2 linked regions of the Pelodiscus sinensis genome follow. The protein of the gene in region 2 binds, or shares a complex with, the protein of the main gene of each other region. Links are inferred from orthologs where the notes say so. Each region holds a gene or a part of one and is shown on either strand. Other genes may lie near its edges.

What was found. Proteins that work in one complex are often made in the same cells at the same time.
Region 1: the proteins of TFDP1 (region 2) and E2F5 are in contact, whole or in part, in a crystal structure (PDB 5TUV), measured with the Homo sapiens proteins. The link is inferred for Pelodiscus sinensis from reciprocal best matches to the Homo sapiens genes TFDP1 and E2F5. Residues at the interface, in NP_009042.1 of Homo sapiens: Glu201, Cys202, Leu205, Glu208, Arg209, Arg212, Leu213, Arg215, Ile216, Lys219, Gln220, Leu223, Leu226, Ile227, Gln230, Phe233, Leu236, Val237, Arg239, Asn240, Arg241, Arg249, Pro253, Ser255, Val256, Ile257, His258, Leu259, Pro260, Phe261; in NP_001942.2 of Homo sapiens: Val126, Arg129, Leu130, Lys134, Glu136, Ile137, Leu140, Glu141, Glu144, Leu147, Asp148, Gln150, Lys151, Leu154, Gln155, Ser157, Ile158, Val161, Met162, Ile166, Asn167, Asn168, Arg169, Phe170, Ser171, Tyr172, Val173, Thr174, His175, Asp177.

The regions. Positions count from the first base shown.
Region 1 is NC_134712.1:46,268,761-46,272,507, forward strand, and holds the start of E2F5 (transcription factor E2F5), read right to left. Parts: upstream 2,109-3,747; 5' UTR 1,944-2,108; coding exon 1,794-1,943; intron 1-1,793.
Region 2 is NC_134711.1:237,052,205-237,055,951, reverse strand, and holds the start of TFDP1 (transcription factor Dp-1), read left to right. Parts: upstream 1-1,018; 5' UTR 1,019-1,163; exon of another isoform or gene 1,164-1,301; intron 1,302-1,461; exon of another isoform or gene 1,462-1,604; intron 1,605-1,917; exon of another isoform or gene 1,918-1,941; intron 1,942-2,296; 5' UTR 2,297-2,369; coding exon 2,370-2,381; intron 2,382-3,747. UniProt on the Homo sapiens protein: Can stimulate E2F-dependent transcription.

The DNA.
Region 1 (3,747 bases), on a different chromosome or scaffold from region 2:
TATACAGCATTATTATTTCGGAATAACTCACATTATTCTGAAACAACACAGTGAGTGTCTATACTACAAGCCTTTATTTTGAAATAATGTCAAGCTGGAGGATTTCTTACTCTGATTCACAATAAACCCTCATTTCATGAGGAGTAAGGGAAGTCGAAGGAAGTGTTGTTCTTCCTTCGACTTGCTGTTGTGTAGACAGCGCCAAAAGCCAAATTAAGCTATTTCGACTTAAGCTACACAATTGACATAGCTGAAGTTGCATAGCTTGATTCAACTTTAGCCTTGCTGTGTAGACATACCTTGAGAGCATATCCTGTCAACATTAAGTAGATATAAGTATGTTGCCTTCCGTAACATTATTCACGTATCTGAAGTTGTATAACTTAGAGTGATCTTCCCCTAGTAGTGTAGACTAGAGATGTCAAAATGTGCGCACACATGGAGCAGGAGGTGGCTCCCCAAGAGCTAGTGTGTGCGGGGAGACAACTTTTAAGCAGGCTCCAAACATGTACCAGCTCCTGCCTACCTCTCCCCCCCACCTGACCTCCCCCACCCTCAGCTGCTCCATCTGTATCAGATGCAGTCACAGCAGGAGAGGGGAGGGAGACAGAGGGGGCTGGTAGCTCCCTGGGAGTTGGTGCACACTGGTAGCCGGTTTTTAAGCCAGCTCCCCAGACATACCAAGCCCCGTGTGGAACCATGAACTTTAAGGGACAAGTTAGCCATGTACATGGTTACACTTTCACATCTGTTCTGTGGGGCTAGCTAACTCCCTGAAAACATAGCTATGGTATGCCACTTGGTTTCTACTTTTCTTAATAGAGAAATCTGTAACTACTTTACAGTAGCTACTGAGCTAAACAGATGTTTAGTTTGATTGACTGGTCATTACAGTACTAGTTAGTTATTCACTACAGACTGCTCTAACAAAGTTTGCCACAATTTTCTACTCATACTTAACTACTCAGATAGCAAAATGTATAAGAAACCAGTTGCTGACTTAAATCTAGAAAACCTGCCAGGATGTAGTGAAAGAAGTAATAAAAATTAAACCTGAGCCTTAATTTTCATTCTTCAAATTTTCTTTGCTTTTCTATGTAGGAATCTTGCAGCTTTAAATATCAATCATCACTATTACTACACTACCATGCCACTAAGAGATGCTACATACCAATGAAAAAGTGGACAACATGCAGGCAACTCAGCAACAATACAAGCCAGCCCCAAACCTACAGAAGAACAGGAAAGGAAAAAAAAATTCATGCCCTCACCCCTGTCCCTTGGGAGAGGATCCTGTTTTTGATTCAGTCCCTGCCGACTATAGCCCATTGTTACTGAAAAAGGCGTCTTAACACACTTTTTAGTTTCTCTTTGGAAAGCGAAGGGGGAAAGTCATAGTTGCATGGCTATAGGAAATAGAATGTGTCCATGAGAAAAACTCGTACACTCTCTGGGCGTCAGATCCCCAAGCGTTTTTCGCGTTCAATCCCGACACAGAGACAAGCTTCAGACTCCCTACCCCCAAAACATAAGCCCTCCAATGATGTACATCTCCACTACAAAGACCACCCAGATCTACCACACACAGGGACTTCCCTTCCACATACCCCCCTTACAGGTGGGCCCACCCATGCAAGGACCCTCCCACGCACCAGACCAGCAAGCTACACAGGTCCGGCCTCCCCCAGCCCCTTCACCGCTCCGCCCCCGCCAACCTCCTCACGCCCCCCGGACAGGTGAGCCCCCCCCCCAAGTCGTCCGGGACTTCCCCCCCGGCCCGGCCGGCCACGCACCGCTTTCAGGTCCAGCACGCCGTCTTTGGCCTCCTGCAGCAGCGACACGAACTTGGTCGTGAGCAGCCCCAGGCTCTTCTCGTGCCGGCTGCTGCCGCCTGCCGCCGGGACCCCGGCGCTGCTGCTCACCGCCTCTGCCAGAGCGGCCATGCTGCTGCCCGCGCTCCCCGCGGCCGGCCGGCCAGCGAGCCGGGCTTCTCCGGCGGCGGCTGCCTGCGGCACCACGTGTCCCGGGCGGCCCGGCCACAACAATCCGAGCCCCAGGGCCGGGGAGGCCGCAAGAGGGAGGAAGTGACGCTGCCCGCCGCGGTTGCCTGGAGACGGGCTGGGGGGGGGTGTGGGGGAGGGACGGGGGCTGCCCCACGGCTGGAGAGGGCGGGGAGGGAAGGGGCAGTCCTCCCACGAGCGCTCTGCGCCGGCCGTCCAGCGGGCGAGCAGCCCCCGGCTCCCTAGCGCAGGCCTGGCCCGCTGCCGCAGAGATGGGGCAAGGCGAGGTCCGTGCTGTCCGGGCGGGGGTCACGCAGCGCTCACCTGGGCTGCTGGAACCATTTTTAGAGAGCAGGGGCTGATGCTGGGACTCATGTATTTGGGGGCTGTTATTCGTGCTTCAAGATGGGTGGGGTGGGGGGAGTGCATTGTGCCCTTGTAGCCAAAAAGGCTAATGGTATACTGGTGTGCATTAGGAGAAGCATTTCCAGCAGATCCAAAGTAGTAATTATTCCCCTTTATTCAACACTGATGAAGCCACATTTGGGCTATGGCTACACTATAGCCTCTTGCGCAAAAATATATGCAAATGAGGTGAAGCATGGAATATCGCCACACCTCATTTGCATAATTAATGAGGCTCGGTTTTTTGCACAGTAGCCTACATGGCTCCTTTTTGCACAAAAGCCTGTTGTGCAAAAATCGAGCCTCATTAACGAGGCGTGGCGATATTCCACCCTTTGCCTCATTTGCATACGTTTTTGTGCAAGAGGCTATAGAGTAGACGTAACCCTGGAGTATTGTGTCCAGTTCTGGGCCCCTTACTACAGAAAGGATGTGGACACATTGGAGAGAGTCCACTGGAGGGCAACCAAAATGATTAGGGGGCTGGAGCACATGACCTATAGGGAGAGGCTGAGGGATTTGGGTTTATTTAGTCTACAGAAGAGAAGACTGAGGGGGGATTTGATAGCAGCTTTTTAACTACCTGACGAGGTTCCAAAGAGGAGGGAGAGAGGCTTTTCTCAGTAGTGACAGATGGCAAAATGAGGAGCAATGGTTTCAAGTTGCAGTGGGGGAGGTCTAGGGTGGATATTAGCAAAAACTATTTCACTAGGGCTGCATCTAGACTGGCATGATTTTGCGCAAAAGCAATTGCTTTTGCGCAAAATCTTGGCGCCTAGCTACACTGGGCAGTATTTGCACAAGAACGCTGACTTTGTAATGTACAAAATCAGTGCTTCTTGTGCAAAAACTCCAACGCTCCACTCAGGGATAAGCCCTCTTGTGCAAGTATTCTTGCACAAGAGGGCCAGTGTAGACAGCCAACTTGATTTTTTGCGCAAGAAAGCCTGATGGCTAAAATGGCCATTGGAGCTTTCTTGCACAGGAAAGCGTCTACACTGGCACGGATGCTTTCCCTAACCCTAACCCTAGGCATATGCCAGTGTAGATGCTCTCTTGAGCAAATACTTTTAACGGAAAAACTTTTCCGTTAAAAGTATTTGCGCAAAATCATGCCAGTGTAGAGACAGCCTAGGAGAGTGGTGAAGCACTGGAATGGGTTACCTAGGAAGGTGGTAGATGCTGCATCCCTAGAGGTTTTTAAGTCCCGGCTTGACAAAGCCCTGTCTAGGATGATTTAGTTGAGGTTGATCCTGCTTTGGGCAGGAGGCTGGTCTCAATGACCTCCTGAGGTCTCTTCCAACCCTATGATTCTATTCTGTGATTCTATGAAGGTGATTTG
Region 2 (3,747 bases):
CTTTGTAAGGGGCAAATCAGTTAAAAAAATCAGTATCATATTTTTCTCTTTCCATTTAAGATATCACGTGCTGCTTCAATAATAGCTGCCTCCCTTTTTCACAAATATCTGAAAACACTTTTCAAAGAAAAGTCTTCACCTAACAGTTTTCCATCTCTGAAAGTGGTTTTGAGTAAAAGCTCACTTTTCTACAGTTACTGTTTCATTCTTCTGGATTTAAAAAATGTTCCATTTAGTACAAAGGTCAGTTTAGTGTATCCTGACCTTGATGCAATCACAGTACATCTAAATTTTAAAAATCTAGCATAGTGGGGATGAAAAAGGAAAATCTTAAAAGACCACAAACTATCTCTATGCTACAAAAAATACTATGAAGTACAATTCTGCCTTAGCTGTCATGAGTATTACAGTTTCTCACTCTTTTCTGCAGCAAGCAGCAGAACTTGCAGAGGAGCCAGTTTGCCCTCTAATTAAACTATTTTAAAATGGCATGTTTAAAATGGGGCATTGTAAGTGCTGCAGCCCTGATAATGGCGAGGCAGTGATGAGGACGCACCATCAGCATTACTCAGGGGTTGGTTAGGGCTAGTTTCTAAAATGCTGTTGCTGGGTGCAGAGCCCACAGCTGAAACCAACACCCTGAGGATTTGTTTTGACAGCGTGCTGTGCCCTGCAATCATTATGGCGCGAGAAGGAAAATGTTCTGCGAGGTCAATCAGGGCTAGGTCCTGCTAAGCCACCTGAAGCCCCAGGACCTAGGCAAAGTCCTTCTCCCCGCCAGAGCTGGAGGGGACATGGGCTAGCGCCCAGCTTTAGTCAGCAGAGGCGGGGCACGGTACCCTTCTCCCCTCGCTTGACATCGACAGGTGGGTGGTAAGTAGCTCAGCGCTGACGCAGGCCACCCCCTCGAGTGACACCACGTGCCAGAGCGCAACGGCTGCCTGGTTCTGACTGACTAACCGCCAAGTCTCGCGCCCAGGCTTCCCGCGCGCTCTTTTTCCAAAAGGGGTGGGGAATCCCTGGGCGCGAAATCCCCGCGCATGCGCGCCACACGGAGGGACGGTGTGGAGGGGCCACTAATCTCTCCGCGTGGGCCCTATGCGAGGCACGTTACACCTCATGACGTCAGCGCGCAGCGTCACGCCGGTGGGACGTACAAAAGTGTAAGTTTCAATTTTTTTTTCTGCCAACGGAAATTTTTTTTCCAGGGCCGCATCCGCGTGCTGAAGCTGGGGAGGGGCGGCTGCGCCCCCCCGCCCCCACACAGGGAGCCCTCCGCGAGGAGGGGGGAGCCTGCGCAGGTGTGCAAGGAGCAGGGGGCGCAGCAGAGGGACCCCAAGAGGGAGGATGGAAGGGAGGGAGAGTCGGGGGGCAGAGAAGAGTGAGGCTGACAAGGGGGGAGGGGCGGGATCCCCTGATTGGGGGCTGGCGCCGTTGACAGCCCTGCCTTCTCTCTTACCCTCCCCCCCGTTTGGAGGCCCGCGAGCTGCACATGTGCAGTCGGCGCCCCCCCCCCCCTCCCGCCGCCGTGTCTCCGCAGAGCGGCGCTGTGTGGGAGCGGGCGGGGGACGCAGGGAGCCTGCTCTCCGCCGGCGGCCGCTCAGGTGCAGGCACCGTTCGGCGTGTGGGAGGCGCTGCCGCACCGGGGGATGGGTTTGGGCGGGACGTGGGGAGGGGGCGCGGGATTTACCCGGGGGGGGGGTTCCCCATACTGGGGGATGGTGCTTCTCCTGTGGCAGCCGAGCCCAGCGCCTCGCGCGCCCACTCGCTAGCTTGGGCGGGCTGGTGGGGCCCCGGGTGAGGGGCTGGTGGGGCTGCCAATCTGTGAAGAGCCTCTGAGGCGCCCCGGCCTCCCCACGCACCAGCGGCCCATCTGGCTGCGCCCGCCGGGGCTGTCAGGGGACTGGCCCCAGGGGCCTAGTATTGTGGGGAAGCTGACAGGTCCGGCATAGGGGCCTCCGGCCTCGCCTGTGGGATGGTGTTGCGGGGAAGGGGAAGAGCTGGACTGTGGCCGACCCACTGTGGGCTTAGGCTGCCAGTCCAGGCCGCCTGCTGGGCTCCTCCGTGTATGTTTGGGATGAGGAAGGCCTTGGGGCTAGGGTGCGAGCTGAAGGGAGGGTCCTTTCTCTGGGGGGATTGTGAGGCCTTTCTCCCAGAGTAAGTTGTTGATGCCAGAAAACTTTTTAAATATTACGAGACCATGCTCTAAAGTAGAGGAATGTCTGCATGCAGTTAATAAATGATGGACTTTTGCAGTTCACTGTTACAGCTAGTGTTGTCTTGACTTTCTTTGTAGAAAATATCACAGTCCCTGTTTCCTTCTGTGGGTGTCAGTCATTTAAGAGACTTGATTTCTAAGCATTGGTAACATGGCAAAAGATGTAAGTATATTTGTTTTGTATTATCTGGGAACATGAGTGATAGAATATTTCCATGTGCTTAAGACAGAGCAGGCCATACATACCACAACTGGCATTAGGGGAAATGAAGACCTCCTTTTTGTCTCTTATTTAAAATGGGTTTGCAGTGTATCTGTTTTCACATAGAAAGTTTAGAATAGACTTACTAGCTTTTGTATTACAAAAAGGCTTAACGTTTTACACAATATGCACATTTGTTCTGTGCAACAAAACAAAAAGCCACCATCTTGCTGAAAAGCATTTGATGCAGGCATTTTGCATACTTGTAATAGAGATTGTGAAAAGCAGTTTTCACTATTGTGCTGGGTAATTAAAGTATTGTTCAATCTGAGCATTGTCAGTGAAGTACCTTTCATTAAGTTACCTGCTTGTTGATAGAACAGGTACACTAGAAATGCCACTCAGTGTTGACCTGCTGTTAAACTATGTTTAGGAAATATCACATGTTTAAGGATAAGAGGTTCTTTCAGTCTCTATGCTTATTTTTGCCTTTCTTCTGAAACAGACAAAAGGAACCTAGTTAAAGTCAGTAGCAATTAGACTATGTGGGGAGGAAATAATTGCTTCAACCTATCCGATTCAAGCCACTAACATAGAAGTGGGTGATAATAAGAGGGTCTGTTTATTGAGCCATCTATTCTTATAGCTCCCATTTTTAATACCTCTTCATCAGAAAAAATACTAGCATGTATTTAAGTTAGTGAACAGATTAGTTTATGATTAACAGTCCTCATTTACTATCATGAGACTTCTGTATTTAGATGTTACATTGCTAATAAAGTACTCTGGTACTCTAACTTTTGCATAGTAATGTTTTGCATGTTCTCTGAAAAACACAGCATTTTTAAAAATTGTCCACCCGGGTACATTTGTCAGTGAAACTTTTATGTTTGTCACAGGAATGTTAAAATGTGGTTAATTGACCCTGCTGGAGCTCTTGTACATTTCAAAGGAGGAATGCGGAACTCCAGGTACAGCCTGGGGCCAGTGGACTCCTGGCTGCACACAGGTGTGCTTGCTTTGAAATGTACAAGAGTCCCCAATGAGGGTCCTTGTTCATTTCAAAGCCTTGGTCAGCAGGGGGGCTCCCCAGAGGACCCTGGTTCTTTGTAGCTTTCAGCAGAACCATGGATCAGCAGGGGACTCCCCAGCTGAGTCCGGGTTCTGGGGAAATGCTGTGTGGAGCCTGGGGTCAGCAGGGGACTTCCAGCTTCAGTGAGTTAAAGGGGCAGTGCAGCACAGCTGATCCCCCGGCTCAGCTGTGCAGTATTGCCACTTTGAAGTACCCCTTCCTCTTCCCCCTCCCTGCCTCTATCTCATAGAGGCA